Diceros bicornis minor: one gene and its partners. The protein of the gene in region 2 purifies or fractionates together with the protein of the main gene of each other region. This does not show direct contact. Links are inferred from orthologs where the notes say so. Each region holds a gene or a part of one and is shown on either strand. Other genes may lie near its edges.

Evidence for each region.
Region 1: the proteins of CANX (region 2) and WWOX purify together in Homo sapiens (affinity purification with mass spectrometry; 3 studies listed by BioGRID and IntAct, with this or other methods). This does not show direct contact. The link is inferred for Diceros bicornis minor from reciprocal best matches to the Homo sapiens genes CANX and WWOX.
Region 3: the proteins of CANX (region 2) and TECR purify together in Homo sapiens (affinity purification with mass spectrometry; 3 studies listed by BioGRID and IntAct, with this or other methods). This does not show direct contact. The link is inferred for Diceros bicornis minor from reciprocal best matches to the Homo sapiens genes CANX and TECR.
Region 4: the proteins of CANX (region 2) and EMC1 purify together in Homo sapiens (affinity purification with mass spectrometry; 4 studies listed by BioGRID and IntAct, with this or other methods). This does not show direct contact. The link is inferred for Diceros bicornis minor from reciprocal best matches to the Homo sapiens genes CANX and EMC1.

The regions. Positions count from the first base shown.
Region 1 is NC_080771.1:28,084,166-28,091,696, reverse strand, and holds the start of WWOX (WW domain-containing oxidoreductase), read right to left. Parts: upstream 3,011-7,531; 5' UTR 2,772-3,010; coding exon 2,665-2,771; intron 1-2,664. UniProt on the Homo sapiens protein: Putative oxidoreductase. Acts as a tumor suppressor and plays a role in apoptosis. Required for normal bone development. May function synergistically with p53/TP53 to control genotoxic stress-induced cell death.
Region 2 is NC_080740.1:92,651,385-92,658,378, reverse strand, and holds the start of CANX (calnexin), read right to left. Parts: upstream 3,010-6,994; 5' UTR 2,874-3,009; intron 2,578-2,873; 5' UTR 2,512-2,577; intron 1,816-2,511; exon of another isoform or gene 1,683-1,815; intron 1-1,682. UniProt on the Homo sapiens protein: Calcium-binding protein that interacts with newly synthesized monoglucosylated glycoproteins in the endoplasmic reticulum. It may act in assisting protein assembly and/or in the retention within the ER of unassembled protein subunits.
Region 3 is NC_080769.1:3,349,496-3,357,373, reverse strand, and holds the start of TECR (very-long-chain enoyl-CoA reductase), read left to right. Parts: upstream 1-4,870; 5' UTR 4,871-4,885; coding exon 4,886-5,065; intron 5,066-5,692; coding exon 5,693-5,744; intron 5,745-6,074; coding exon 6,075-6,119; intron 6,120-6,215; coding exon 6,216-6,319; intron 6,320-6,393; coding exon 6,394-6,509; intron 6,510-6,586; coding exon 6,587-6,692; intron 6,693-6,824; coding exon 6,825-6,897; intron 6,898-6,999; coding exon 7,000-7,043; intron 7,044-7,114; coding exon 7,115-7,172; intron 7,173-7,259; coding exon 7,260-7,348; intron 7,349-7,694; coding exon 7,695-7,740; intron 7,741-7,815; coding exon 7,816-7,878. UniProt on the Homo sapiens protein: Involved in both the production of very long-chain fatty acids for sphingolipid synthesis and the degradation of the sphingosine moiety in sphingolipids through the sphingosine 1-phosphate metabolic pathway.
Region 4 is NC_080752.1:36,356,557-36,364,414, forward strand, and holds the start of EMC1 (ER membrane protein complex subunit 1), read right to left. Parts: upstream 3,013-7,858; 5' UTR 2,998-3,012; coding exon 2,903-2,997; intron 574-2,902; coding exon 449-573; intron 1-448. Other genes in the region: MRTO4 (mRNA turnover protein 4 homolog), read left to right, coding at 3,314-3,341, 4,520-4,578, 5,503-5,606, 6,532-6,613, 6,895-6,962, 7,242-7,393, 7,764-7,840. UniProt on the Homo sapiens protein: Part of the endoplasmic reticulum membrane protein complex (EMC) that enables the energy-independent insertion into endoplasmic reticulum membranes of newly synthesized membrane proteins.

The DNA of each region.
Region 1 (7,531 bases), on a different chromosome or scaffold from region 2:
AATGATTTGAAGGGTCATCTTCTGAAAGCCCACTAGCTAAGCTTCCCAAACCCCAAGAGGACAAGTGGCCCTTCCAGAGTTAGGAGGGAAAAGAAGGGCCAGGATGCTTGCAGGTCAGGAGAGATCAAGGAAGACTGCTGGGAATCCAGGGACAGGATCTATCAGAGGCACCCTTCAGCTCCAAGAGCCAAAGAACAGAGGGCCAGCGGGACTGGAGAGAGGTGCCCCCAGATGGGAGCCAGCCAGGCCTTGTCACTACAGTCAGTGTAAACAGTGGGGCCAGACAGGCCAGTTTGAGACATCAAACACTGGTGGGGGGAGCTTTCTGGAGACGATATATGCATTACTGAGTCCCCCGGCCATGGGCTCCTCAGACGCTCTCAGAGGAGCTGGCTGGGGTGTGCAGACCTTATTTAGTGGAGGAACAGCCCCAAGCCCAGACTCTGGACACCATGCCGGAAGGAAGCAGGTGAGAAAGGTGGTACAACATAAGGTGCAGAGGGGACAAGGCAAGGCGAGCCGGCACAGGGAGCCTCCAGACCTAACGCCAGGCTCCAAGCAAACCTGAAGGGAAGCCAGGGAGCCTCCGGGGCAAGTGGCCTGAACAAGGAAAGGCCCCAGAGAGTGGGAGGCAGAGAAGGGCTCCAATAGCCAGGAAGTGGGTCATGTGCATCTTTGTGTTCCCGGGGCTGAGTGTGCCTCCTGCCCATGGAGGCCACAGTAAACCTTCACTAGATGAGCTAATATACTCATTCCACGTGGATTTATTCTACGGCTCCCGGGCACTAAGCAACCAGTGAACAAGAAAAGGTCGCCACCCTCATGAAGTTTACAATCCAAGGGGGAGAGAGAGCCGCAAACCAGGAAGAGCATGGCTAAGATAAGTACAGACAAGACAACAGGCGGTGGGTGAGGGGTGCGCGGTGGGGTGCGGGGTGGGGGGGTGGGGGTGCCAGGGAAGCTCTCCCGGGCTGTGACGTTTAAGCTCAGCTCCCAGGGATGACAAAGCTCTTCACGCAAAGATCTCCAGGCAGAGGGAAGAACAAGGGCCCATTCAGGAGCTGCCCGGAGCCCGCATCAGCCTAAGGGCTCCCTGCCCAGTTGTCCCTTCAATTCTCCAGAGCAGAAATCATCTTTCTAGACACAAACCTCCTCACTCCCTGGCTCCAAACCTTCAGGAGACTCCTGGGTCGTGACGACAGACCCTAGCTCCTCCAGGAGGCGGAAGGGCCTCCGTAAACTGCGTCCTTCCTCCCCTGCCTCAGTCTTCACGGTCCCGCACCGCCACACAGGCCACGCCTGGGGCCTCTGCTCTGTTTCCTCTACCTGGGGCCCTCCTGCCCCCTTGACCTGCCCACCTCAATTGCTGCTCTAAGGCACACCTCACGTGCCAGGCCTCCCAGGCCACCTCACCCACCCACCCACTCGCTGCATGCACCCACTACACACGCTGCACCGGGACCACCTACTATGTGTCACTCTTCCCGATAAGTCTGGACACTCATTAAGGGTGACAACTGGGTCTTATCCATCTCAGTATAACCAGCGCCCAGCAAAGAGCCTGATACGTGATAAGATCCCAATGTGTCTTGAATGAATGAACTCACCAGGTCTTTTTTTTTCTGTTTTTCTTTCTACCAAGCCACCAAGCGCAGCAGTGGTTCACACCCTTGGGTAGATGAGACCCCTGGGAAGATCTTACAACATACCATTGGGGGGAGGGGGACCAATTAAATGAGACTCTCTAGAGGTGTGACCCAGGAAAAGATATTTTTTAAGTTTCCCAGATGTTGAAAATCCCTGATTTACATCCATGTTCCTCAAAGCCAAGTGATAACCAGCCTCATCTGAAAAACTTAAAAAATACACATTCTGCACATTGGGTGTCTGCTGTGTGAGGGTCTCTGTGAAGACCTGAAATCTGTATTTATGACAGTCCCCAGGCAATCCAAATATCAGGCCTAGGAGGTGCTGTCACAGCTGCAGAAACAGCGGGACAGGTTAATAGTGATTGAGCATAGAGTACTTATTAGACCTGTGCTAAATGCTTTATGTACAGAGCCTGAACCAAACCTCCATCAACCCATTTTACAGATGGGAAAACTGAGCGTTCTTTCATTGGTCCCAGGTCACAGAGTAAGTGATAGGAGAAAGGGTCTGCTGGTGTTTCCAAAACTTTCCCAGAAACTATTGTGAAGCCATACTTTATATATATATACAACACACACACACACATATATATATATACACACAGAGCTATATTAGAACATCTGTTAAAAATACATACTCCTAGGTCCCCACCCCAGACCCTTAAGGAGGGAGCTGGACAACCGCATTTTTGTTCTGATTTTTTGGTGGGAGGGGATAAGGCTGCTTTGCTATCACTGCACCGTGCAGCGCCGCCTCCTGAACAGCAGAGGGCGCGCCAGAGCGCTGCCAGGCGACCCCGGCTTGACCCACGGCCCAGAGGGGCCGGGACCCTGGGAGCCTTCCCTCTGAAGCTCTTTAACCATCACCGCCGCTTCGCCCGCCCTCGCCAGCCTGGAGCGCAGGCCCGCGCCCCTCCCCGCGCAAGTGGCGGCCGACGGCAGCGCAAGGTCCAGGCACGTGAGGCCAGGTTCCAGGTGCGTTCCAGGCCCGGGGGCCCCCCTGCCGCCCCCTTACTTGGCATAATAAACCCAGCCGTCCTTGGTGGTTCTCTGCTCCCAGCCCGGGGGCAGCTCGTCCTCGCTGTCCGTGTCGTCCAGGCCCGCGTACTGCAGGGCTGCCATGGCGGCAAAGCTCGGACGCTCGCTCGCTCGCCCGCCCGCTGCCGGGTCTCGGCGCCTAGGAACTCACTCCCGCTTCAACCGAGCGCCGCGCGTCGGGATCCAAACGCTCGCGCCTGCGCACTACGCCGCCCAGAGCCGCTCAGCCCACTCGGTAGCCGTAATCCAGTCTCCGGAGTTTCACAGCTTCCAGCGTAAAAAGGGGCGGGGCCTGAGAAAGACGGCGGTGAAAGCGCCGAGGAGGCCGCACTGCCACTCGGCTGGAAGTAAAACCCGGGGAACGTTGTGTGACTCTGCAGATGGAGCTGAGCTTCGTCAAGCTCCCCGCCTCAGGGAAGGGGCGTGGGCATCCAGTCACGGTCCTGGACTCCGCCTGTTGCTGGGCGACCTGTAATCACTTCCGCATTGTTCTGCCCAATCAGGCAGGCGCTCCAGCAACGGGGCATCCTGGGAAATGTGGTCTAGGCCCCGCCCGACCAGACCGTGGAGCAGAGACGGGAAATGCTGATACTGGTTTTATGGGCTCTAGTCTCTGCTTCTTTTAGGGCATTATGAATAGTGAACGTTTCTGCTCAAACACCTTGCGGAGCTTCCCACCACGAAGGATGATTCCCAAACTTTGTTGTGCTTGGAAACACAACGTTATAAAACGTGCAGAACGTTAAAAATGCAAATTCCCGCACGTTCTGATGACCCAGTCTTGAAGAAGTTTCTCCTAGCCTCAGCATAGTTCTGTTGATGATAAAGGACTAACGTTTATAGAGCGCTTAATTCTGGGCCAGGAATTCCTAGACTCTCTCTTTCAAGTACTGGGCACCTCTGTGAAGTGTGGAATTAGAGGAAAGCAGAGCAGGGGAATAACTGGCAGTTGAGACCCTATTGCTGTATTACAGTTGTTTATGTCTGCGTGCTCCCGACTAAACTGACAGAGAACCACATCTATGCTTCTTTCCGTTTTTTTTATTTTTATTTATTTTTTTGTGAGGAAGATCAGCCCTGAGCTAACATCCATGCCAATCCTCTTTTTGCTGAGGAAGACTGGCCCTGGGCTAACATCCATGCCCATCTTCCTCCACTTTTTGTGGGACGCTGCCACAGCATGGCTTGGCAAGTGGTGCGTCATTGTGTGCTGGGGATCCCAAACCAGGTGGCCAGCAATAGAGCACGCGCACTTAACCGCTATGCCAGGAGGCAGGCCCTATGCTTCTTTCTATGGCTAGCAGTTAGTAAAATGCCTAGACTTACAAGTTTATTGAATGAAGTGAATAAACAAATGAGTGCATGAATGTGATTCCTTAGGTTTGGCCCTCTATAAATCAACGTAGTTCAAAACAAAATTCCCGGTTTGCAAGGTGGCCTCTCTTAAGTCCTCTTGGAGAACCTACAATTATCCTATAAACATCCTGTGTCAAAAACCAGAAGCCTATCTTCAACTTGGCCTTGCCTAAGAAGTTTTCCAGAACATTCCCTGCTTGGAGCTTGCTCCCCCAGCTCAGCATTACAGGGAAATCTACTGACGGTGATTTCTGCTGCCTAGGTCTCAGAAGAATGCAAGCCTCCATCAGCAACATTACATATTTTAAAAGGTTGGGGATGGGGGGCAATGCTGCTTTTTGTCTTCTTCAAGTCCTGAAATTTATATTGCTTTGGGATTCCCACTCTGCATGCTCTTTTTTTGTGTGTGTGTGTGAGGAAGATCAGCCCTGAGCTAACATCCATGCTAATCCTCCTCTTTTTGCTGAGGAAGACTGGCTCTGAGCTAACATCTATTGCCAATCCTCCTCCTTTTTCTTTTTTTCCCCCCAAAGCCCCAGTAGATAGTTGTATGTCATAGTTCCACATCCTTCTAGTTGCTGTATGTGGGACGCGGCCTCAGCGTGGCCAGAGAAGCAATGCGTAGGTGTGCGCCGGGGATCTGAACCCCTGGCCGCCAGTTGCGGAGCATGTGCACTTAACTGGTAAGCCATGGGGCCGCCCCCCATTCTGCATGCTCTTGAGGGGAGACACTCACTTTCCTTTGAAGTTGCCCAACCAAAAGCTAGCTTAACAAAAGCATGTTTTAGTTAACAGGCCCATTATCCCACCTCAGACCTTTGGTATTATCACTCTTTCCAAATCCATGTGCATTTAAATAAGCTACCATTAATTTGCTGCTCTTCTGCTCACCTTGGCTTAATCCTTTGCCCGTCACCAAAGCCAACTTATTCCTTTGATATGAATAGGAAATTAGGTCACGAAGTCCCCTAATGGTGAGGAGGAGGATGAATGGAGTCAAACTGATTAGCCTCAGTTTCTCCGATCATTATCCGTAGCCTCTGCTCGGCTTCTCAAGGATTGACTGCTTAGATTTATCTTGGGTTGCCCTCACCAGAGCCTCTACTGGCACCTGTTGCCTGTGACTTGGCATCAGGCCACAGGTAGTGATATAGTATGGTGTCTTCCTCAGACTGGGTAGTGGTCTCCTTGAAAGAATTCTCAACTTCTGGGTCAGCCCTCTGCTATTCCTACCACTTTCACAATTCCCTCCAGGGCTTCTCAACCTCAGCACTCCTGACATCTGGGGCCAGATAATTCTTTGTTGAAGGGGACTGTCCCGTGCGTTGTAGGATGTCTAGCAGCATCTCTGGCCTCTACCTACTAGATGCCAGTAATGTCCCCCTCCCCCAGCTGTAACAACCAAAAATGTCTCCAGATGTTGCCAGTTCTGCCCCTACCTGAGAACCACTGATCCACAATGACAGTGAGTCAGGTGATTACTAACTCATGAATCAAACACTGATATGGATTTAATTAAGGCAGTGAAGAGCCCGTTTCTGGCCAGAGATTCACAAGGTGGTACTCAGACCCTGCTGGTTCTGATCACCAAGTTCTCTAAGGCTGTCTGAGGGCACTGCCTCTCCAATTCCTAGTCCCTCCGCAGGTGAGAGACATGGGCTGACAGAAGTCTGGCTGGGTGGCCCAGACACAAATAATGGTCCCAAATGGTTATGATGACCTCATTTTATTCCTCTCTCCCTGCATCTTATCCGTGGCCTCTATCAGAAGGTTAAAGACAGGAGACAAACAGGTATTTGGGGATTCATGAGAGTAGGCATGCCAGATTCTAGGATTCATAGTCTTTTGGCTTCATTAAAACTGACACAGTTTTAGTTTTGCTTATTCGATTGCAAGCAACAGAGGTTCATTCAAAAGTTTATGACCAGGGTGCACCTGAGCTAAATTAGGATGTTATCGGGACCTGAGAGAGCCCAAGGACAGCCCATTTCTTTGTCTCTGGTAGGTTTCCTGTCTCTTGCTCCTTCCTCTTTGCTCACATGCTATGTTGTTCTGCTCTCCCCTTACTGGCTTCCTCTAGTCGTAGTTTCTGCTTCTCTTGGACTTGAGCTTGCTCGTGGCTTTGACTTTGGTCTGACAAGGATATATCAAAGGGAGAGCCCTGTTTAGCTTATAAGATTATTATGGGTTTGAGGAGCCTTAAATTTGGCAATGAGCCAGGGTCCTCGACAGGTAACCCTAAGAAAACCTAAAGAATGGTTTGTTTTTGTAAAGCCAGCTGAATCACATTGTGATTAGTGAGGAAGTTAAAATAAAACATCTCAATGTGTGGTAATACAACCACACAGCAGATGGCCCTGTCTGCCCACGATTTTAAAGGCTAAAGCCAATTCCTGAGAAGGATTTCTGCATTTGTTCTTACTGATTGCTCACTTCTGCAATAACTGACGTTATGATGACAAGATTTGATCAGCTTTTGCTGAAAGCAGTTTGGCCTTACACGTGCAGCGGGCACAAGTTTGAGTGTAACGTTCCTGGAGCCACGTTTCTTTAGTTCATTGTCGTTACTGCAATGATGGTCATTTCCCTCCCCTACATGCGCACAAACACGCCAACAATTCTGCACAACCTGCTTCAACTTAAGTCATCATTCTTTGGGAAATTAAGCCTCATGTTTTGATGCCAAACTCAATATGCTAATGAGACCTGGGAAGCTTCTGTCTCTTCTAATAAACTTCTCATGGGAGGTAACCAATAAGGAAGAATATTGAACAGGAGTCGAGGCAAAACTCTTTCTGGTCAATGCGGCCTTACATAGGGAGGTACGTTTGTATTTTACTTATTCATTCAAACACACAAATGAAAAAAAATTATGCTATGTCTCTGAGAGAAACCAAGAAAAACGAAACACACCCTGTAGCCAGAAATCAATTAGGATAAAACCAACAGACACACAAAGAACTCTGGCTTGAGGGTTCTAAAAGACGTTCGAACTAAGACCTATAGGTCTGCAGAGATGGAGAGAGTTTTGGGGAGGGTTTCCTGTAATTTATCTTTGGAACCCAATTCAGCTAATGTCACTTACAAGCTGTGTGTGACAGTGGCCAAGTCCCTTAACTTTCCTTATTCCATTATTATCAGTCCACTTTTTACAGATGAGGAAGCTGGAGCACAAGGAATCTAAGTAATTTGCCCAAGGTCACTGGGTGAGCAAGAGCCAGCAGGAGCTGAGATTAGAATCCAAATAAGGGCATTAGCCCCAGATTCCTGCTCTCAGCCAACTGCCCTGTGAGCTGCCTTTCCAGGTCAGGGGGTCCCCAGTGCTGGTCCTCAGATGGATGCCAAGAGGTTTTCACTCCTCCATGGGAAAGTGAGAAAAATAAGATAAAAGAAATGAATTTTTCATAATGCTAAATATGTTCCACTTAAATATATTACTATCCTTTTATTTTCTATGAGATGACATCTGTCCTTTTATTTTCTGGCGA
Region 2 (6,994 bases):
ACAACACTATATATACTTCTTAGGGTGGTTGTATAACAAAATGCACGTAAAGTGCTTATGACAGTGCCTGGCTTACAGTACATGCTCAACATAAGCAGTGATTTCTACTATTACTAGGTATTGCCCAGAGACACCATTTAAGTTTTAATGGTTCTAAAACTCTGAGTTTTGGGCCGGCCCCGTGGCTTAGCAGTTAAGTGCACGCGCTCCGCTGCTGGTGGCCCGGATTCGGATCCCGGGCGCGCACCAACGCATTGCTTCTCCGGCCACGCTGAGGCCGCATCCCACAAACAGCAACTAGAAGGATGTGCAGCTATGACATACAACTATCTACCGGGGCTTTGGGGGAAAAAAATAAAATAAATAAAATTTAAAACTCTGAATTTTAAGGCAAATAAGAAATTTTAAGTCTTACATTGGAAAGGAACCAGTTAAAAGGAATTTGACTCCAGTCACAGACAAACCATTTTACTACTACTTTTTGCACCTTCTGATTTTACTACATGTGCATCTAGTCAAAAAATAAAAGCACCTAAAGAGGAAAACAAGTAAAGACCACTGTAAATGCTTAGCCATTTAAAAATAGACATATACTGCCTTGTCTACAGTTTTGAATTTTGTTTCTCATTGACAGGAACATTAGAATTGGTTTTTCCATAGCACTTTCTTTTTTGCTATAAACTAAGTAAGTTTAAGATGTGAATACTCAAAACATATTGCTGAAGATTCTCAAAAATTCTTTAAAAAACAAAATTCTCCAAATAATTTTCACAGCTCACAGTTAACATTAATTTAAAAGCAAATCTGCTGCAGGTAACAAAGCATTCATCAGCACTTTCCTGACAAAGTTCTAGAGTAGGCTATATAGGCTACAACTACGTTCAAGAACTTTTATTATTTCCTAGGAGTTTTTATGAGCTGCCAATTCTTCTATTTGCACAGTTCATTACACTATTCAAAGTAGTATCATGTTCGCCATCTTATTTGTCCCTCTCAATAGCCCCCTAATAGTAAAGGATCCAGGAGACTTCTCATTTCCATTTTAAAGATGTGGAAACCAAGGTGGTTCATAAACTAGTTACCACACTGGGCCTGGAATTCAAGCCTGTTGAGCCTACATTTATGCTTACCAACTACCACTTCATTCCCTTAAGCTATCTCGCAGGGCAAAGTGAACTCTGTAACTAAAAGGATGCAATAGCCTGACTGCCAAAACTATAGTTACTTCTGTCAAAATGTTTACCCCTTGTGGTCCTTGAAGATAATGTACTAGTTGAACTGACAAGTTAAGATAGTAATGTGGGGAGGGATGCTGACACCCATTTTCAGATAGGTCAGAAAATGTGTCTGTTGTGTGATACATTCACTCCAGTACACAGTTCACTCCTGCCTTCTCATGATCCTGTTACCTGGCTTGTTTGCATGTGCACCCTGGCTGGTGCAAAGGAGAACTCTCCCACAGTTCTTTACCTCTGCTCTAAATATAATTATAGCAAATGCACAACATGGCATTGATTCTATTTATGACCCTCAAATATGGCTGGAAAAAGATGATACAGAATGCTTTTAAAGATTAATAGAATTCTTCCCTTAAAAAAACCCCCAAAACTCTACTTATTAAAAAACTCAGCAAAATATTCCATTTCCTAAATTAGAGGTAAAGAGACTTAACTGTGGTTCACCTTTGTCCTCCCAAGCTTTTAATGTTCAGCTCAGTTTAACTTCCCTCAACCAGCAATCACTTGTGTCATGCCCAACAGTTAATCCACTAGGTCCAGTTTCTTCCTCCCATCACCATAAATGTGACTTCAGGTCCTGCAAAATAGGACTTACCCAACTCAAAGAGTAGGATGTCAGTGTAGTAGACAAACTATTCAAACTACAATTATTTATTGCAATCATTATTTATGGAGCAGTTAATATGTATCAGATTTCCCTATCCTATTTTATACACATTTTAATTTAATTCTAACAACTCCATCAGCTATTATTATATCCATTACTTAGGGAGAACTGGGGCACAAAGGGTAAGTAAATTGTCCAAGTTCACATAGCAACAAATGACCTACTGAAGGACTTGAACAAGGACCTTCACTTTAACCACTACACCAAAACTGTCTAGCTCTCAACCATAACCCCAACGGGATCATAAAATTAACCGCATGACCTTGGGCCAGTCATATCAGAGCTCTGGGCCTCAGTTTCCTCCACTATAAAACGACCTACCCACAGTGAGCTTTTCGGTGCTTTCCTGCTTTTAATGTCCGGTGAATTTCCAACTGGATTACTCCCCACTCCCGATTAGGTGTAAATGTTAGGACGTAAGTGTTCCAACCACTGCGTGTTCTAGTACATTCTCCATACTCTTCAGGGTGCTAGGGTCCAGTCTTCGCTTTGCGGTTTATTTTCAGATATTGAACCTGTAATGCTAATCCTAAATACTCTCTCTCGGTCCGATATCACCTTTCCCCAACCCTAGGGGTACCGACTAGGCCCAAGCCCACTCCAGACCTTTACCCGGTTACTCCAGCGCACCTCGCGGCTTCCCAGGCAACCAGCAAAAGGCCTACGAAAGCCCTAGAAGCAAAGCCATGGGACGAAGTTAGCTTTCCCAGAGGTCAAGAGACGCTCCAGGGCACCTGCCACGCCTCCCGACGCCGGCGCGCGGCCTCGGCCCGGCGCCCCAACCGAAGTGGCCCAGGTTCGGCCTCGAGCTCACGGCCGGCGCCTCCGCCGGGGCCTGGGCCCTGGAAACCCAGCCCGACCCCTTGGCCAGGCCACGCCCGGCCCCCCTGGCCCCTCGGCCGCGACGCCGCGCACCCAGGCCCCAGGGTCCTCAGAGACCGAGGACGCGCGCAGGCCTCCCGTCTCACCTCGAGCCTCCGGGAACCGCCGGCGGCACCCGCTCCTTCTCCCGCCCGCACACCTGGCCCCGCGCCGCAACCGAGACAGCGGCAGACGCGGCCCGACCGTCACGTGCCGCAGATGCAAGAGGCCTCGGCTACCGCTGCCGCCGCGCGAGCGAGCCTCAGTGCGCTAAGCCCGGCCCTGCGTCCGCCCCTCGCTCCTGAGTAGTTACGGCCGGCACCAAATCCCGCCCCCCCGCGCAAGCTCCGAGATCCGGTTGGTCGGCGCGGCCTTCGCTCTATGCACCTTCCCGTACGCCCCCTAGGGCTCTTCTTCGTGGAGTGTGGGGATTGGCTAGGAGTGAGGCAGGAAGTGGCTCTTGGTTGGGCAGGAAGAAAGGGGCGGGCCGCAGCGGAATAGGGAACTGCGGGCGCGCGCGCCCTGGGGTGGGCCGGTCCACGGGACGTTCCCGCGCCTGGTTGCCGTGGTGCCCTAGTGGGCGCTGTGCCTGGCGTTTTGTCCCATCGTGTGTGGTCCGGACCCTGCTGGTGCCTGGACCCGGGCCCCGGTCCCCGGGCCGGGCATCCCGTTCCCTTCGCTGAGGGGGCAAATGGCAGCCGGCAGAAGAGGTGGGAGGTCGGGAGGGCCTTCGGGAAGGGCCAGTTCCCCGATTCTGCTAGTGCGGGGCCCGGACGGAAGCCGCAGCGGCTCTGCGGGCCGGCCTGGAGTCGTGCACAGCGCTGTGTAACAAGGCGCCGGCGTTCCTGCAGAGTCATCGCTCTGGGCCCAGCAGACTGCAGCGGCCTCATTACCCAACATAAAACCCAGTCTAGAATACTATAATCCAAGGTTATTTCAACTTTCAATTTGTGATGTTTCCTGAAGTTAGATTAGACATAAGGGCACAGACACCCGACAGGATTAGGAGAAAACAGTGGTGCGATGGAAAGGTTTCAAACACACTACAATTTTTGTAACCCACTTTTAGCACATCTTCAGTTTTCAATATGCTTAGAACCTCAGAAAATGGAAGTGGCCTAGGTTTTCCTAGACGTTTATAGGTCCTGGTCTCGGTCTGTCATTTGGTTACCCGAAGTCTGAATACTAGGGTGGAAAAAACTAGAACCAGTAGGTGTATCACCTATCCTAGTGTCCATGTAAATAATCCATAATCTATAATTCAAAATTGGGGTGAGTTTATTATGAGCCAACTTTTGAGGACCATAGCCTGGGCCTTCCTTCCCCAAGGAAGGAAGGCCACCAAAGAAGTGGGGTATACAGAGCGTTATATACTGTCAAAGAACATGTATCACATATGATGGCAAAGTCCCTTTTACAATAGCCACAAGATTGCCCTGCCAGAATAGCCCTGGCGGAATAGCTGTTGGACACAGTGGGGAGCAGGTCTGCTGTCTCAATCTGGGCAGTCACAGGATGAGTGCAGCAATCAAATCCTAGCCTAGTGAGAAATACTTATCCTTAAGGAAATGCCAATGTGGGGGAAGTTGCATTCTTATGTTAAGGGCATTTACTCTTCTCTTTGGGACATGGTAAAGTGGATACACAATGCATGTTTAAAGGCGACAGGCCTTGTTGGAAAAACAAACTCAGGCAGAACTAGTTTTACCCCAAATGGCTTCCTCATATGCTCTGATATATCCTATTGCTTGCCATTTATTTATCACTAGGATCCAGCTTTATTCCCTCCCACTACCTGGAAGGGGAAAAGAGAGGTCAGAGATTGGTGTTTGCATGAGTTTAGTATTCTCCAACTCTCAACCCCCAAATTTGTGTAAGAGAATTTTGCTTTCCTGTTTACCTGGGGAAGTGGATATTCAAGGCAGAATAATATTCTGGATGCCACATGTTCTGGACAATGAGCTTAAAAGGTAGTTACAGAAACTGTGTGAGCAAAAGAGCTCCTCCAGCAAAGGTAAATGCTAAAAGATGGTGATCCTGAAGAAAATTTAATGGGGTTTTGAGCTGGAAGGAACTGCTTTTGTCTAGAATGGACAGGTAAAGAGGTAAGACTTAAGCTGGACCTAGTAGGATATGCAGGATTTCTATAGGTGGAGAGTTGGAGGCAGGCTTCTTTACACGAGGGACCAGCGTATACAAAGGCAGGAAAATGGGTATCGTATGTCTGGGGACACCGCACACACGAGTGTTTTGGCTGGAGAAAGGTGTTCGTGAAAGTGATGGGAAGTCAGCTCCAGAGTCGGGTTAGGAGCAGGCCTTCAAGGCCTGGCCAAAGAGTTTGTAGGGAAATAGTTTAGATTTTGGATTTAGGTCATGATTTAGATATTTAGGAAGCATTATGTTAATATTATTCCAGGGAGTTCTGAAAGTTCTGAGAGAGACTACCAGCTATGAGGCCAGTTAGGAAGCTACTTCTTGCAGTTGATTCAAGGGCAGGATTAGGGAATGGCAGGTTGTATAGAAACAAAAGCATTAAATGTTGATACTGAAGAATGGACTCAGGCTGGGGAAAGAGAGGAACCAAAGCAGACACTCAGAGTATGAGCCTGGGTGACAGGAGGTGAAGTGTAGAGTAGCTTTTTTGTAGACAAACTTCCGCCTTGCCTTTCCTTTTTTTGGTGGGGGGGAAGATCAGCCCTGAGCTAACATCCATGCTAATCCTCCTCTTTTTGCTGAGGAAGACCAGCTCTGAGCTAACATCTATTGCCAATCCTCCTCCTTTTTTTTTTCCCCAAAGCCCCAGTAGATAGTTGTATGTCATAGTTGCACATCCTTCCAGTTGCTGTACGTGGGACGTGGCCTTAGCATGGCCAGAGAAGCGGTGTGTCGGTGCACACCCACGATCCGAACCCAGGCCGCCAGCAGCGGAGTGCGCGTACTCAACCGCTAAGCCATGGGGCCGGCCCCTGCCTTGCCTTTTGAAGCATCTTTTGGGCAATTTTCTTTCTCAGGTGCTTGATTGTCAGCTCTGTGAAATTCCTCCACTTTTTCTCAAGCTTTTGCCTTTTTCTTCTCTTCTACATCCTCTATGGTTCCAGCTGGAAAAGGGTATGAGATCTTTTCTTGATAATTCAAAGGGTACTTTGAGGTGTTAGAGTATTTCATTAAAAGAAATAATCATTTTATAGTTCTCAGATGTAGAAGGTATGGGAGATTGGGCTGAATGTATTTTAACCTTATGATATAATCTGTAAGATGGTTTTCAAAATAAACTGTTTATATCCATTTTAAAATGCACATACGTTTTGCCCAGCAATTCCACCCCTGGGAATATATCTAGATATATAGATAGATAAGATAGATAGATACAATAGATAGATGGAATATATCCACATACTGTACTTGTATTTAAAAGTATACACAATGATGTGCATTGCAGCATTGTCTGTAGTACCCCAATCCTAGAGACAACCTAACCTATCATCATAGAGAACTGGTTAAATAGAATATAGGTCATCCATGTAATGGTTCTGTCCTGCTGGAGAGCATGCAGTGAGCACATATATGTACTGATATAAAATGATTGCCAAGATTTAGTGTTATGTGAAAAAGCACTGAGTAATGTTTCCTTTCATGTTTCAAAGGGAGATATATTTTCATAAATATGAACTTGGACAAACAAGCTTACTGGAAAGATGCAGGAGAACTGCTAAGAGTGATTGATGCTGAAGAGGGGGCCTGAAACCCTGGAAGTGAGAAGGAGCCTTTTTAATAACATGTGTATATTATTTTTTCAATAAAGGATCAAATAAATTTCTGCTTTTATACTTAATTTTCCAAAAAAAGATAAAATATATATTTAAAACCACTGTGAACAAAATTGTTGACCAATTTGTCTTTCCTATCCAGCTACTTCTTATAACAACTTGCCCCTCCCACCTTCCTGAAAAGCCACCCTCATCCTTGCTCATCCTCACCTTCCTTTGCTTAAAGGAGAAAGTGGGCACCCAGCCAGAGGGAGCACCCCACATACCCATCCAGTCCTTTCTTACTGATTAGGTCAGTAACGGTCATTTCTCTGTACCCACACTCATCTGGCATTGTCAAATTGAGGTATGTAATTACGTTAACTGAAGTTTCTTTTATTACAGTGAAGTTAACATTTCTCACATTCATTAACCATATATATTTCTTCCTTTGTGAACTGTCTATTCACGTCATTTGTCCA
Region 3 (7,878 bases), on a different chromosome or scaffold from region 2:
GAGTTAGTGTCCTTCTCTTGGTCCCATGCTGGCCCCATCCTGCACCGGGCGGTCTGCTCACAAGCGCCTTGGGACTGGCGGAGCCTGAGCCCTCCAGGGGGGGAGTGCCGTCCGAGGCCACGAGGGGGCAGTGGAGAGCATGGTGGCCTGGCGCTGGGGAGTTGGAGTGGCCGTGGCTGCCGCCCGCACATGTCCTGCTATTGTTAGGGTTCGGGCTCCCTGTCAGCAGCTGGGTGGGGCAGCACTGTCACCTCTCTGACCTTGGCGTCCTGTGGTTGCGCCCTCATGGTCACGGTCATGGTTTGGGAGAAGGGGCCTGGCCCCTTGCGCGTCTGCCAGTGTTGTTTTGCTAGTATGGGTCTCGTAATATTTATTCTTTGTAAGATTTGTTCCAGGCTGGGTACCTTTATGAACTTTTTGGGGCTGTTGTTATTGTCATCTCTGTAAATCTTACGGTAACCCTGTGAGATGGCAGGTGGGGCAGCCCACTCTGTAGAGGAGGAAATGGAGGCTCAGAGAGCTTGGGTAACTTGTCCAGGGCCACACAGCTAGGAAGTAGGTGAGTCTTTTTGACCTCAGAGCCTGGGGAGTGTGAGCACAGCTGAGGAGGCCCTGGAGGCCTGTTCGTGAGGGAGCCGCTGCCCTGTGGCACCACCTGTGAGGGCCCGGCCGCGGGGAGCCCCTCTGTGTTGGGATTGCTGCTGAAGAAGGGCAGCGAGCTTCACCAGAGCCGGCGCCGGCTCAGTCACGGACCGTTCCTCAGTGAGCAGTGCCCCAGAGCCTGGGAGGAGGCCCGGCAGCGCGAGTTCTGGCCTCATGGGGTCACCGGAGCCGGGCGGGCGTGTCTGCGGGCCTCACAGAGGCTTCCCTGGGGTGAGGCCCCGGCCTGTGACAGGGACTGCCCTGGTAGCTCCCGAGTGTGGGGAAGGGGAGCCAGGGAGGGGCTGAGGGGGCCGGCCCATGTGCCTCTCGCAGGCGTCCACCGAGCACGGCTCCTGGCCAGGCTCTGTTCTGGGGGCCAGAAACGACTGAGAACAGGCCAGTCCCCCCTTGGGAGTGACGTCCAGTGAGAGGCACTGTGTAAGTCGATGGTCGGGAAGGGCCGCTGAGGGGTCATCCGAAGGCTGGAGGAGGTGTGGGAGGGGCCTGTGGGGTCTGGGGAGAGCGGTCTAGGCAGTGGGAGCAGCATGTGCAAAGGCCCTGAGTGTCTCCTGCGGTTGCATAACCGCTCTGGCTTTCTCGTCTGCTGGACAGGGACTGTCCCGGGAGCCTCGCCTCCCTGGGGCTCTGGGCACCGGCGCTGCTCGGAGCAGGTGCTAGAACGAGGGCGCCCTGTCCTGCTGCCGCTCCCTCCGTCTGCAGCATCTGTGCTTCCACGGAGACAGCGAAGACCTGGGCCCCGCTCGGCAGTGGCTCCGGGTGCTCCCCCGGGCTGGGGACCGCTGCAGCCTGACCCTGCCCCTCCTGCAGGGTGGGCTTGGGCCCGCCCCAGTCCCCCCCTTCCCGCCCTGACCTCGTGCTGCCACGAGCTGCAGCTGGCTGGGCCCGAACCCGGGCCTCTGGGTGAGAACCCTCCCATCGCAGAGGCACCGCCTTGTCCTCGTCCTCTGTGTCCCCTGTGCCTGAGGCTGCAGCGCCACACCCCTGCCTGCAGGACCTCTGGCCAGCGACCCTACAGGCCCCACTTCATGCGGCGGTTCAACAGATCGCTCCCCAGTCCCCAGCCCTTCCCTCCAGGGGGCAGGAGGGCTGTCCCTGCTCCTTCCCTCGGCGCCTCCCGGGGTGGGCCGGGGCTGCCGCCGCCCTTGTGTGCTCAGGGCCCTACCTGGGGCCCAGCTCAGCAGCCGCTGCACCTCCCTCCTGGGCCCTGAGGGCGCGTGCGCCGCAAGCACAGGGCGTGGGGTGACAGCGGGCAGGGAGGGTGCAGTGGAGGGGAACCCCAGGGACTGAAGACTGGGGAGCACACACGGGGTCCCCCACGTTAGTCCCTCAGTTGTGGGGGTGGGGGAGGGACCTCTGCAGCTCCCTGCCCTGGGACTTTTTTTTAATGAATGATTGGGGCCTGTTTATTAGACCCCCATTTAAAACAACTTATTGATGTGAAATTCACATGATGTAAAATTAACCCTTTAAAAGTGAATAGCTCAGCAGCATGTGGTACATTCACAGTATTTTGCCACCACCACCTCTGTCTAGTTCCAGAACATTCCATCACCCCAAAAGAAGACCAGGTCCTCGTTAGCCACTCTCTCCCACCCCCAGCCCCTGGCAACCACCCATTTGCTTTCTGTCTCTCTGGATTTACCTTTTCTGGACATTTCACATAAATACGTGTCTGGCTTCTTTCACCTAGCGTAATTTTCTTTCCCCACCTCACGTATCTTTCACTTAACTTTTTATTTTGAAATAATTATAGAGGCACAGGGAATTGCAAAAATCATATGGAGAGACCTGGGTACTCCCCATAGGCCTTTCAGACATCTCTGGGGTTTGGGGGATTTGGGGGCAGGAAATGGAAGTGAGGACCCATTCTCCCTCGGCAGCCCTGAGCTGGGGCACCCCCACCCCGAGGGCGGGCTTACCTCTGGGAGGGCGCCGGCCGCTCCGCTCCTCTCCTGTCTTCTCCTCTCTTCTCCTCTCCTCTCCTCTCCCTCCTCCGGCCTCGGGCGGGCCTGGGTGCAGGGCCCCTCTCCCGGCTGCCCTCCTGCCGCCCTGAGTCCTCTCCCGGCGGCTGGTCGGGGCCCCCGACGGCGCTGCTCTCCTCTGGGCTCTGGTGCGGTGTCCCGGCAGGGCAGAGGGTAGGGTTTCAGCCCCCCCGCAGCTGGCCACCGCGGAGAGGGGCTGGTTGTATTTTAAGCTGCTGAGTGGTTCAGCAGGAACTCGGGGGCCTGCTCTCCTGGTCGGCTGGTGCTGTCCTCCTGCGGGCCCGTGGGCTCCGAGGGCGTGGGCGCTGCCCGAGGGGACCCAGGAACTATTAGTATACCTGCAGCCACGTGGCAGGCCCTGTGCCCGCCTGGGACCTGCTGTCCCAGCCCTTCCTGGCACATTCCTCGTGTGTCCCTCCCCCTCCCACGAGTCCTCTTGGTGTGGCCAGAACTCCGGGCAGTATGGCCAGCTCTCCCTTTCTGGCTCCTCGTTTGGCTTTGTCATCCCTGTGGCTCGGAGGGTTCAGTCGCCTGCCTCCCAGGCCACATGGCCGGTCAGGGCCCACAGCTGGCGGCGGACGCTCTCTCGCCGGTAACAGTGGGCAGCATCGGCTAGGACTTCTCAGGTGCCGGGCCGTGTCCTGCCCTCCCGTCCACGAATGTGGGGCGGGCGCAGCAGAGACTGGCCCCAGCGGGAGGGTGAGGGTCTGCCCCCGGCCCTGCCCTGCGCTTTGTCGCAGCGCCACGGCCTCCTCAGCCCGTCCTCAGGGCCCGAGGCCTTGGGGCACTTGCACCTGTCAGGCACCACGCCGGTGCCTCGCTCGCACTGTCTCACGGAACCCGACTGCCCTGGGGTCACACGCCTCCCCGCACTGTCCCTGGCTGAGGCTCAGAGAGAAGTGACTGCGTGGCGAGGCTGGCTTCGGGGAGCCCCCCTGTGCTCCCAGCACCCCCTCCTCTCCCACTGTCCCTGGGCGTGTGTGAGGGGAGCCCTTCCCTTCGGGGGGGCTCTGGGCGCCGGGGAAGTGGGCCTGCGCTCAGAGAGCCCTGGTGGGCCCAGCCCTGGTTTTCGTGTCCTGCTCCTCCTCCCCATGCTGCCGCTGACCGAGGGCCCCCCAGGGGCTCTGGGCGTGGGGAGCGTCCTCAGTACCTGCCGGCCAGAGGCTAGCTTGGGGTCAGACCCAGCCTTGCCTGCCACAGCCCCGTGTCTGATAGGATCCAGGCCAAGCCCTGCACGGGGCACTCGGGCCTGCTGTGATCCACCCACGCCCCTCCTCTGACCTGCTTGGGGGCTCCCTCCCTCCCAGCACTGCCCCTCTGCACCCCCACTGTCTGGCCCCTGCCTGGGTGCTCAGGTAGAGAGGCTGGGCAGGCTCCTCTCTCAGGGCCTGGCGCTGGCCTGGCCCGTGGACCCAGGAGGTGCAGGGAGGCCCAGGCTGTGTGCTCTGGGCTTTGAGGAGCTCAGGGTCTGGATGAGGGTGCTGTGTTGGGCTGACACTCGGGAGGATGGCCCTGAAGGTGGCCTGGAGCAAGGCGTGGGTGAGAAATGGGTGGAGAGGGAGGTCGGGAGCAAGTTGCCGAGGCCTCACCAGCTAAGGCGGGCGTGTCTGCTGGAAACTTGCGGGTTCCCGAGCCTTTCCACACTTAGAGTCTCTGTGCACCAGCAACTCCGGAATCTGTCACCTCCCTGGAAACACAAATGCACGAGGAAAGTAATCCCGAGTGGCTTTTACAGCTCAGGAGGGGAAACGGATGCTCTATCTCACAGGTTCTCAGAATAGCTGGGATTTCTCCAAGCCCAGTGAGCTCTGCGGGCCTGAGCTGGACACTCACCAGCTCACCCTCCTCCTGGCACTGGGCCCCCACCCGTGGGCAGCGGGGCTGGGAGGTGCCTTCACCCCCATCTCTGGGCATCTCCCTGTCCCCGGGGCTGTTGGGGGCCGTGTCCACTGGAAAGCCTCACTTTCAGGGCCATCCGGCCCTGGGGGGCTGCCCCAGGCCCCCAGTGGTCTGTGTGTGGTCCTGGGGCCCGGTCTGGGGCAGTTTTATATTTAGCCGTGGCTGCTGGGCCACTGGAGTGGCGTCTGCAGAGCGCCAGGGCAGGCGCGGGCTTTTCTCCAGCACCGCGGCAGAATGTGATTGCGCCAGCCCGGCCCAGAGCCGCTCGCGTGGGGCGGTCCGTGGTGGGGGCTGACGGCCGGCAGCTGGGGCGCTGGCCACGGCCGGCAGAGCGGGGTAGCATGGATCTGAGCATGAGCTTGGTGGCCCGGGAGGCCAGCCAGGGCCTCGGCCCCGGCGTCAATGGCCTCCCCCGGCCCACGCCCCCTAAGGCGGCCAAGAAGCCTAAAAAGGCTGTTCTCTTCTTCGAGGTGGAGATTCTGGACGCGAAGACGCGAGAGAAGCTGTGCTTCCTGGACAAGGTGGGACCGTGGCGCTGGCTGCGCTGGGCCCGGGACCCACTCTTGCTGGGGCTCCTGGCCCCGAGGGAGAGGGGAGTCCCTCCACCCTGGGTCATGACTCCCCACCCCTGCCTCTCAGGGTGCATGAGGGGTACTGTCCCTGCCCAGCCAGTCGGCCCCCAGGGTAGAGTGGGCAGTCCTGGCCCTGGGTGTGGCCGGGAGCTGGCTTCCTCGGGGCCTGGGAAGGAGGAGGCGTCCTGAGACCTGCCCCTGCCGAGGCCAGGCCAGGGGAAGGGGCTTGTTCCGTCCCAGGGGAGGCCTGGCCTGGACAGAGGGCCTTTACTCTGGGGCAGCTGTGGGTGGAGGGGAGAGGCAGAGATGCAGGTCCCGCTTCCCGTGCTCAAACCGTCTCCCAGCCAGGCGGGGCGTCCTGGCTGCCTGGTAAAACCAGGCCCTCAGGCCCACGGCTGTCCCATTCTGGCACGGGCCTTGCTGCTCCTCTCTGCCATGCAGGTGGGGGCCTGGACCCCCACACCCCCCTCCTGTAGCAGCTGCCCTGACCCCAGTCCATGCCCTCCAGGAGGGATCCTGGATCCTGGTGTGGACTCCCCCCAGGGCTGAGGTCCCTGTGGCCTGTGCTTCCCCCAGGTGGAGCCCCAGGCCACCATTGCTGAGATCAAGAACCTTTTCACCAAGAGCCGTAAGTCCAGGGCCCAGCCCACTGCCTCCTGCGACCTCTCTGAGCAGGGGCCTCTGGGTGGAACCGGTCCTGCCCGCCTCTTGCCCAGGGCCTGCAGAGATGGCCCCAGTGTGGCCCGGCTTCCCTGGGACGGGTGCCACCGTGTGGCCATCGGCAGGAATGCCCTTGCTGGGCTTTGGGAAGGGCAGCACCTGCCTTTGTCCTGCTCGTCTGGGCTGTGTCCGGGAGCCACACAGGCCTCACAGGCCTTGTCTTCTGAGGGGCCGGGAGCAGCTGGGGGTCCCTGGGCCCCGCCAGGCTGTGCACGGTGATGCTCCGCTCTCCCCGCAGATCCGCAGTGGTACCCTGCCCGCCAGTCCCTCCGCCTGGACCCCAGTGAGTACAGCTGTCCCTCCACCGCCGCTGGGCCCCCCCCCGGGGGCAGTGGGCGGAGGCCTGGACGCCCCTGAACCCTGGCCTGCCTCTCCACAGAGGGCAAGTCCCTGAAGGACGAGGATGTCCTGCAGAAGCTGCCTGTGGGCACCACGGCCACACTTTACTTCCGGGACCTGGGGGCCCAGATCAGCTGGGTGACGGTGAGTCCCACCCCCGCCCTGGCCTCCTCTGCCATCAGCCACATCAGGGTAACTCCCTGCTCCCCTGCCCCCAGGTCTTCCTGACAGAGTACGCGGGGCCCCTTTTCATCTACCTGCTCTTCTACTTCCGGGTGCCCTTCATCTACGGCCACAGATACGACTTCACGTCCAGCAGGCACACGGTGGTGCAGTGAGTGGGGCCGGGCGGGAGGGCGGCGGCGGCGGGGGGCCTGCTGGACCTCCCCGCTGAGCCGGCTCCCCCTACAGCCTGGCCTGCATCTGCCACTCATTCCACTACGTCAAGCGCCTGTTGGAGACGCTCTTCGTGCACCGCTTCTCCCACGGCACCATGCCCTTGCGCAACATCTTCAAGGTGAGCGCCCGCCCGCCCCCGCCCCCGCCCCCCGCGGCCCTCTGTTGGACCCCAGACACGCCCCCCCAACCCCGCGCACCCGCGGGCCCTCCGCTGGACCTCAGGCCTCCACCTGGCCCTGTTCCCTTTCAGAACTGCACTTACTACTGGGGCTTCGCCGCCTGGATGGCCTATTACATCAACCACCCTCTCTACACGCCCCCCAGTAAGTGGCCTCCGACCCCGCTCACCCCCGCCCCCGCGGGCCTCCCTTCCCCGCCACCGCCTCTCCCTCACGGGCCTCCCCTCCCCTGTGCTTCCCCTTCAGCCTATGGAGCTCAGCAGGTTAAACTAGCGCTCGCCATCTTTGTGGTAAGCGGGCTGGGCCAGATGACGGGTGGGGGGCGTCTGGGGGCTCCCGGCTGACGCTGCTCCTCCGACAGATCTGCCAACTTGGCAACTTCTCCATCCACATGGCCCTGCGCGACCTGCGGCCAGCTGGTGAGTGGCCTGGTGGGGTGGGGGGGTCGGGCTGGGCAGGCCGCGCTGTGGGGGGGCGGGTCTCACCCCTCGCATCCTGCCCGCCAGGGTCCAAGACCAGGAAGATTCCCTACCCCACCAAGAACCCCTTCACGTGGCTCTTCCTGCTGGTGTCCTGCCCCAACTACACCTACGAGGTGAGGGTCTGCCAGCCCTTCCGCCGGCCCCGGGGTCCCCTGTGGAGAGCCCGCCTCTGGTAGGGCACCTGGCTCCGCTGCTGCTTTTGCGCTCTGACCTTGGAGGATCTGGCGATGCAGAGTCTGCAGCTCCCTGGGGGTTGGGGGGCGTCAGGCTCGGCGTACAGCTGTTGGCGGCCGAGGGGCAGCTTCATCACGGACCCCCTTATTCGAGGTCCCTCTAGCACTGGCCTTCGGTTCCCACCCCCACACGGAAAGTAAGGGTTGGGGGAGGCGGCCCAGGGGTGGGCGGGGCCTCGGGAACAGGGGCGCCGCCCGCCCGCCCTCACCCGCGCTCTGCCCGCAGGTGGGGTCCTGGATCGGCTTTGCTATCATGACCCAGTGTCTCCCAGGTGAGCTGGCTGCCCGCCCCCGACGCCCTGCCCGGCTGGCTGCGCGGCCCCCCTGACACCCGCTCTGCCCCACAGTGGCCCTCTTCTCCCTGGTGGGCTTCACGCAGATGACCATCTGGGCCAAGGGCAAGCACTGCA
Region 4 (7,858 bases), on a different chromosome or scaffold from region 2:
CTGCCCACCCACTACCATCAAACATAAATAAACAATGACAAAATTAACAAAATCCATACAATTCACCAGAAAAATAGTGACAAATTACATTTCCATGATTTTAGTGCCCGAAAACATCCATAAAAGCAGTGTAAGTAATTTACGGAGGATATTCCAATCTTTACTGCAAAACTGATCAATGCGTTTTTTGCAGCAATATCTTATTCAAGAACACTCAAGACCTGGGCTTACGGAATAAACTACAAAGGCCAGTTATAGGAGTATCTTAAGTATTCAAAGATGACAAGACATTAAAAAAAAAGGTATCAGAATCCAGTAAGAGATCCCTCTTTTGGCCGACTCATCCCTAATTTGGGAATCAGCCAGGCAGACGTCACAAGCCACAGGCCTTCTGGATCCACTACGTCAGCCATTCCATCTCGAGCTAACGTCTGCACAGTTCACTCACAGATCTCCCCGGTCCGAGAATTCAATGCTGCAATCACATTTTTCTCTGTGGCCACAACCAACTTCTTGGATCCAGGGGAAAACTCCAAGGAGGCAAACTTGAGCTTCCCAACATACTGCTGTCTCCTGGGGAGAGAGAACAGGGAAATAAATGTAAGGGGCCCAAACCATCACTGCAGAAAATACTTTGGAAAAAGGCAACTGCACAAATACATGAGGTTATCACCATCATACCTATCTTAGAGCGTATGAGAAATGTTTGTTAACAAACAGATCTGACCAAAAGCAAGATTTCTATGCAATGTAGTCAGAAGCAAAGGGAACAAGAAGAGAGAATACCCCCTAGCAGATAAGAAACGCGACAGTCTTCCTTCTAAATGCAAGCACATATTTTGCTCGAGATAAGTGACACCCAAGAGAGCACGTGGCCTAAATCCCACTAGAACAAACATTACAGTCCTCTCTGTATTCGATAATAGTGGGACTAGACACTCACGTTACATGCGACAGAAGAGACACAAACCCTGTTGTCAACGAGCATACAATCCAACTTTCCCTTCTACTTTCACGACCTCTGGAGAAAAAATGATGCCAATTTCCCAACAAAACTCCAGAGACCGGGTCAGGCCTTTTGTTCTCTACAGCCTTTTCTAGCTCACACCATGTTCAGGATCCATTTGACTCATTGTTCATATTTTCCTTGGAATATATCCCATCACTTTCAACACTCCTACCTAAGCATAAATGGAACATACTAGCTTTGCATGGATACTATCAAATACACAGGAGGTGCTTGCACATTCTTTTTAATTAAGAAGTACGGCAACCACTAGCTAATTAAACACACGTGACGTTTACACTGAATTTCTCTTGTTGTGATGTTGTTTGCTCTACTTTTTCAAAAAAAGAAAAGACTAAGCCCGGTAGAGAGACAGGCTTATATGACATTTGACAGTTTCTACCTGCATTTTCACATACTTTTTCGTTGTACGCACTGAACAATCTGAAGTATGTAGAACAAACATTATTACTCTCATTTTACAGGTAAGTAAATCAATGTCTACTGACATCAACTAATCTCTGTCAGAACTAGACCACAAAACTAAGACCTTCTGACTCTAAATCCCATGCTCTCTTTTAAACTAAGTGCTGCCTTTATCTGGACTATAAAAGTAATGCCTGCTCGCTGTAGAAAATGTGAAAAATACATAAAAGTATAAAAAATAAAATGAAAAATGCCTAAAATACCACGACCATAAACTTTTTAATGTTTTGGTGTATTTCCTTCTATTTATTTCTCAATTTGTAAATTGCATATACCTAATATTCTGTTAAATTGGAATATCACATATTGTGCATACGTGTAATATATACATATCATACTACACATTTTCCCACATCATTAAAAACGTGACTTACGTTGCATTTGTTACACCGTCTTATATCACATACTTATATATCTGCCCCGCTAGACTGAGCTCCTTCCCATCTCTGTATCCACAGCATCTGAACATCTGTCCCACCACAGGCACTCAACAAATACATCAATCAATTTGTCTGAGACACAAAAGACTTCAGAGAGGAGAAGATAGCTGAGCTGGGCTCTGAAGGATCGTGTTCCCTGATTAGTAATAATGAGCAACATTTACTGACTGCACTCAAGGAGCCAGGTATTGTGCTAAGTAATTTAAAGGAATTATCTCATTCATCCTTACAGCTACTGTAGGAAGTAATGAGCTATTTGTAAACCCATCTTACAGATAAAGAACCAGGCACAGAGTGGTTAAGTCTCTTCCCAAGATCACACAACCTTTACGTCACAAAATTGAGATTCAAACAAAAGCAAGCCAACTCCGGGGACTTAAGGAAGGGATGGGTGAGTGAGTGAGTGGGTGAATGAGTGAGTGAATGAATGAATGGCACTTAGGGGCTGATGTGAGTATTGGACGGCCCTGTCCTGAGCTGGAAGGGAGGAGAAAGAGGACTCAGTTTAGGACTCAATAAAACCCAAGCCCCTGTTCACACGCCCAAGAGATGCCAATTCGAGGAGGAATGAGAGTTCACTGCAGGCTGTCGACTTGTGACACACAGTGGATCAGAAACCTGACGGCCACAGAAGCGGGGCCCGGCGGGGGAGGAGGGAACAGTGACCTCTGACCAGAACCCCGAGCGTGTCTGAACAGCAGGGCCGGCTGCATCGGCTTGCGACCTGTATAGTTACACAAGGACCGGCTTAGAAGCGCCCCCAACACTTGGTTGCATGCTGTGCTGTCGCCACCTTAAAACTCTTAATTTTTGAACGAGAGATCCCACATTTTCATTCTGCACTGGGCTCCGCAAGTTACGCAGCCAATTCTGCCACATGATAACGATAACCTCCCTCCCTTTAGCCGAGAGAAGACAGGTGCTGGGAAAATAGCCACATATTTCCCGAAGAGGCCCCACACGTACGCACCAATCAAACTTGCCCACTTGGTCTTCGTAGACCGCGGCCGCAGGCACAAGCAGGGCAGCCCAGAACCAGAACCGGGAAGCCGCCGCCGCCGCCATGATGGGAGGCCGGTCCCGCCCGCCGCCGGCCCGGCATGCACCGCGCCGCAGGCCCCGCCTCCGCGGAACCATAGAGTTGGGACGGCACGCGAAGCCCCGGGTGGGGCGCTCAGGACTCGGAGGACCCCGGACGGGCGAGAAATCGCCCTGGAGACGCGGGGAAGAGCGCAGGCGGTGGCCAGCAGGAGGAGGGGGCCGTAGCGCAGATTGAGTCAGGCACGCGCGAGGGCAGCCCCCGAGGGCCATCCCAGAGTTCCCCGCGCCGCCGGGGTCCTAACAGGCAGCACCGTCTTCCGCCGCACGTGCCTGCAACGAGATGCCCAAATCTAAGCGCGATAAGAAAGGTGGGCGAAGGGGGCTTTGGGACTCGGTGGGGAGTGCCGCCGGCTGGCTGTCAGCTGCGGTGGGGTGCTTCGAGAGGACGGAATGGGACGCCGGGACCTCGGCGAGGAGCTCCGCGGGCTCGCTGCGAGCTCGGATGGGGGCGTCGGAGCGGCGGGAGCATCGGAGAGGGCTGGAGCGTGGTGGGGTCAAGGGATCGGAGAGCTCCTTAAGAGCTCTTCCAAGGCCGACTGGGCCGACAAACAGCCTCTGAACACGCAGGCTGCGCCCCATCTCGCTTTGGCCCACCCCTCCCACCTCAATTTCACTCTCTGAGCTCTGCGCTCCCGCCACCCTGGCCGCCTTTCCTTTCGTTCAGCACAGGCTTATTCCCTGCCCTTTGTTACTTGCAGTTCTCTCTGTCTGGCGTGCCTTTATGCTCTGACCTTCACATGGCTGGTTCTTTCTCGGTTCTCAGTTCATAGGGCACCTTCTAAGAAACCATTCCTGACCATCTTTACAATTTTGGCTTCTCCCACCCTGGCTCTCCAGCACATTCACTCAACGAATATTTAGGGGGCCTGGAACTCTCTAGGCGTTGGAGGATATAGCAGTTACAACAAGAAAGGCCTAGAGCACTCATCGCACTTAACGTTTTAGTCATGGGATACATATCTCCCCCAAATACCAAAAGTCTCATCAAGTCAGACAGTCGTGAGTCCCATGGAGAAAAAGTAACAGAAAGAGGTGATATTATTTTGTGTAACGTAGCCAGAAAAGGTCTCTCTGATGAGGTGACAAATGAACAGAAACCTGAAGAAAGAGAATAAGCAACCCATGGAGTTACCTTCGGGGAATGGTGTTCCAAGTCTAGGTCTGCCGCTTACAGCGCTCCAAGAGCAGGAACAAGCCCTGCCCCCACACTTCAGTAGGGGTTTTTAGGTTAGCCTAAGAGGGCTGAGGAGCACCTAGTTTGTCTAAGCAACAGAAAATATATCAAAGGGTCTCCAGGCTCAGGAATGCTAGAGAGTAGGCACTCTGAGGACCCCAGGAATAGCCTTGTGTGCCAGTAGTGGCTGCATCAGCCTTGCTGCCCTTCCTCAGAGTGGCTCGGTCCAGCTGAGCAGCCAGGGAGAAGAAAAGGAGTCTCCAGGACATCCAGATTTGTTTTTCATCATCTCCTTTTTCTTCTTTGTATTAGTTTCCTTAACCAAAACTGCCAAGAAAGGCTTGGAACTGAAACAGAACCTGATCGAAGAGGTAATAGCTCATTCTTTTTATTTTTTCGGATCTTGTGTTTGGTTTATAAAGGTGGGTGTAGGGCTGTTTGTCAGGGAAACATACTGTTAAAAAAAAAACAAAAACAGCTGCCGATGCAGGCCTTTTTCCACCAGTAGCAGCACCACCAATCATCCCACAGCAATGATTTCCAGCTTTCACTGAGCTCTTACTCTATGCCCTGCTCGGTGCTGAGCATTTCGTATGTGTTGTTCACTCCATCCTCACCACATCCCTCTGGGTAGATGCGAGGTGACGTTATCACTGTTATGCAGTTGGGTAGCTGAAGCTCACAGAGATTTGCTAGCCTGTTCCATGTCAAAAAGCTGGGGAGTTACCAGTTGTGGGCAAATGCACCAGCCCGCTGTCTGCACTGCTTCAGGGCTGCAGGCTGGCTGACAGCAGCATCTCCTCCCGCACAGATTGTGTCTTTGAGACCACCTCATCGTGGCTGCAGCCAGCAACGTGGGGGTGGAGAAGGGCCGTTGAGCTGCCTCCCCTTATGAGTAAATAAGGAGGCTTTCTATGCTTCCAGCTAGCAGGAGCCTTCCTAGCGTAGCTGAGTATTTTTAGGTTGTCAGCAGTTAATGGACAAGGCAAAGAGAAGTGGTGGATTCCACTGTTGGCCACAGATAAGTCAGGAATGTGGGAAGACTGGGATCTTGACCCATGGCTCAGCTTCCCCTGCCCTTTGAGGTCATGTCTGCTTGGCCTCAGGGGAGCCCCTATCCTTAGGGATCCTGGCTTCAGTAATGGAGGTGAGGAGGAGACAACTAGATTAGAGGCCTGCAACTCTCAACTTCCACAGTTGTAGAATCTAGAGCAGATTCTTTCCCATCTGAGGCCAGAGTATTGCCCAACTCGTGCTGCCCCTTGAACTCCAGAGCCCCATGAATTGTCCCACAGCTTCGGAAATGTGTGGACACGTACAAGTACCTTTTCATCTTCTCCGTGGCCAACATGAGGAACAACAAGCTGAAGGACATCCGGAACGCCTGGAAGCACAGCCGGTGAGCAGGCAGTGGGAAGAGTGGGGAAGGGGCCAGGCTGCTCTCAAAGCACAGGGGCAAGTATTGACCCTTGGGTACCTGGTACCTTAATAAGGGCAAAGGGCCACTCCCACTGAAGGGCGCTTTTTCAGCATTAAAGCTGGTCTTGCACTGAGCTTCTTGAGGGACAGGACTTGATAGTTGCTTAAGGGATGTCTGATCAGTGATCCCTCCAGGAGAAGGGGCTCCCTTCACCCTGGGGTCTGATCCTTTTAGGAACATCTCGTCAGTTTTAGAATGTCAATACAGTCACGTGCTGTCCAACAATGTTTCAGTCAACAACGGACCACATACATAACAGTAGTCCCATAAGATTAGTACCACATAGCTTAGATGCGAGGTCGATTATGCCATCTAGGTGTGTGTAAGAACACTGATATCCGCACAATGATGAGATCGCCTAACGATGCGTGTCTTAGAACCTATCCCCATGGCTGATGTGCTCCAGGAGGCACACAATGACCCGAGAGCAGGCTGCATGAGCCCTTTGGCGAGTACCTGTCCTTGGGCTGGATTTGTGACAGTGCAGGTGATGACTCCGGTTGTCTCTTGCTGCACCAGCTCTGGTTCAGACCATGGCACGTGCCTCGTCTGCACTTCCAGCCAGGGCAGCACGGGGGGCGGGTTCACATAACACTCACACTGGGTTGGTAGACAAAATATTGTGAATGCCAGGTCTGTGGCAGGAAAATAATGAAAGAGATCCTGGGCTGGGGACAGAGCGGGTAGGGCCACATGGAAGAAGTGGGAGCCTTTGGCCACCCCTCCCGCTACAGAACAGCCTAGGCCTGGGCTTGGGCCCCCGCGGACTAGAGCTGGCAAGCACTTAACTGAGGGGAGGGCTGGGTAGGGCACCCCCTTCACGGAGGCCTCCTTTTCTCTGTAGGATGTTCTTTGGCAAAAACAAAGTGATGATGGTGGCCTTGGGTCGAAGCCCATCTGACGAGTACAAAGACAACCTGCACCAGGTGAGGCTGGCCCTCTCCGGAGGGGCCGGGGCCAGGCCGCTGCTCACAACACACTCTCCGGCCATCAGGCCCGGCCGGGATCAGGGAGGGCGAGGCCTGGCTTAAAGCTCCGGTTCTCCTTTAACCTCCAGACACAGCGAGTAGTGCCCCTCCCAGCTGGGACAACCAGAAATGTCTCCGATGTTGCCAGAGGTCCCCTGAGGGGAGGGGGGTGCAAAATTGTCCCCAGGTGAGACCCACTGCTCTAATGTGACCGAGCTGATCCTCTGTTTGTTTCCTAGGTCAGCAAGAAGTTGAGGGGTGAAGTTGGTCTCCTTTTCACCAATCGCACTAAGGAGGAAGTGAACGAGTAAGTGTTTTTGAGGAGTGGTAAGGAAGAGAAAGATTGGTGAGGACTCTAGGGAAGGAATAATCTAGGGGCTTTGTACAGTGGAGGCATCAAGGAAAAACTGCTTCCTAGAACCCAGTTTACTGAGTCGTTATTCTCCAGCACGGTGCTCCAGGCTGGCTGCCAGCCAGCAGCTGAGATGGACGGGGAGGGGAGGCGAGACCCACGGGGAGCCTGATTGTAGGTGGGCGGGTGGGCCAGTCAGGAACCTGCCCTCCTTCCACTTCTCTTTCCCTTCAGGTGGTTCACCAAATACACAGAGATGGACTACGCCCGAGCTGGGAACAAAGCAGCGTTCACCGTGAGCCTGGACCCAGGGCCCCTGGAGCAGTTCCCCCACTCCATGGAGCCACAGCTGAGGCAGCTGGGCCTGCCCACTGCCCTCAGGAGAGGTACGGGGAAGTCCCTGGAGCTGAAAGGTCCCAGCTTCGAGGTCAAGAGCACAGGCCCCCAAGCCCGACGGGCCCTCCTCCCCGTCCTGGCTGAGTGGGTTTTCCCAGCCTCCATTCTCTCATTTGAAGATGGGGCCGAGAGTGCCCGCCTCATAGCTGGGGGGAAGTGGACAGCGACTTAGAGCCAGAACACAGCACTGCAGGACAATGAGGGAGGTGGTCACTGCCCTGAAAACCCTCCCAGGCAGCTGGACACGTCTGACTGAGCTGCCCTGGCATGTGCGGGGGGCCAGCCAGCTTGCTCCTAGCTCTGGGCAGTGGGCAGGAAGCTCTGTCAGCAGGAACTGCTCAGGGGCCCCCTTCTTTGCAGGCGTGGTGACCCTGCTGTCCGACTACGAGGTGTGCAAAGAGGGCGACGTGCTGACCCCAGAGCAGGCCCGCATCCTGGTGAGTCCGCCCCCTCTG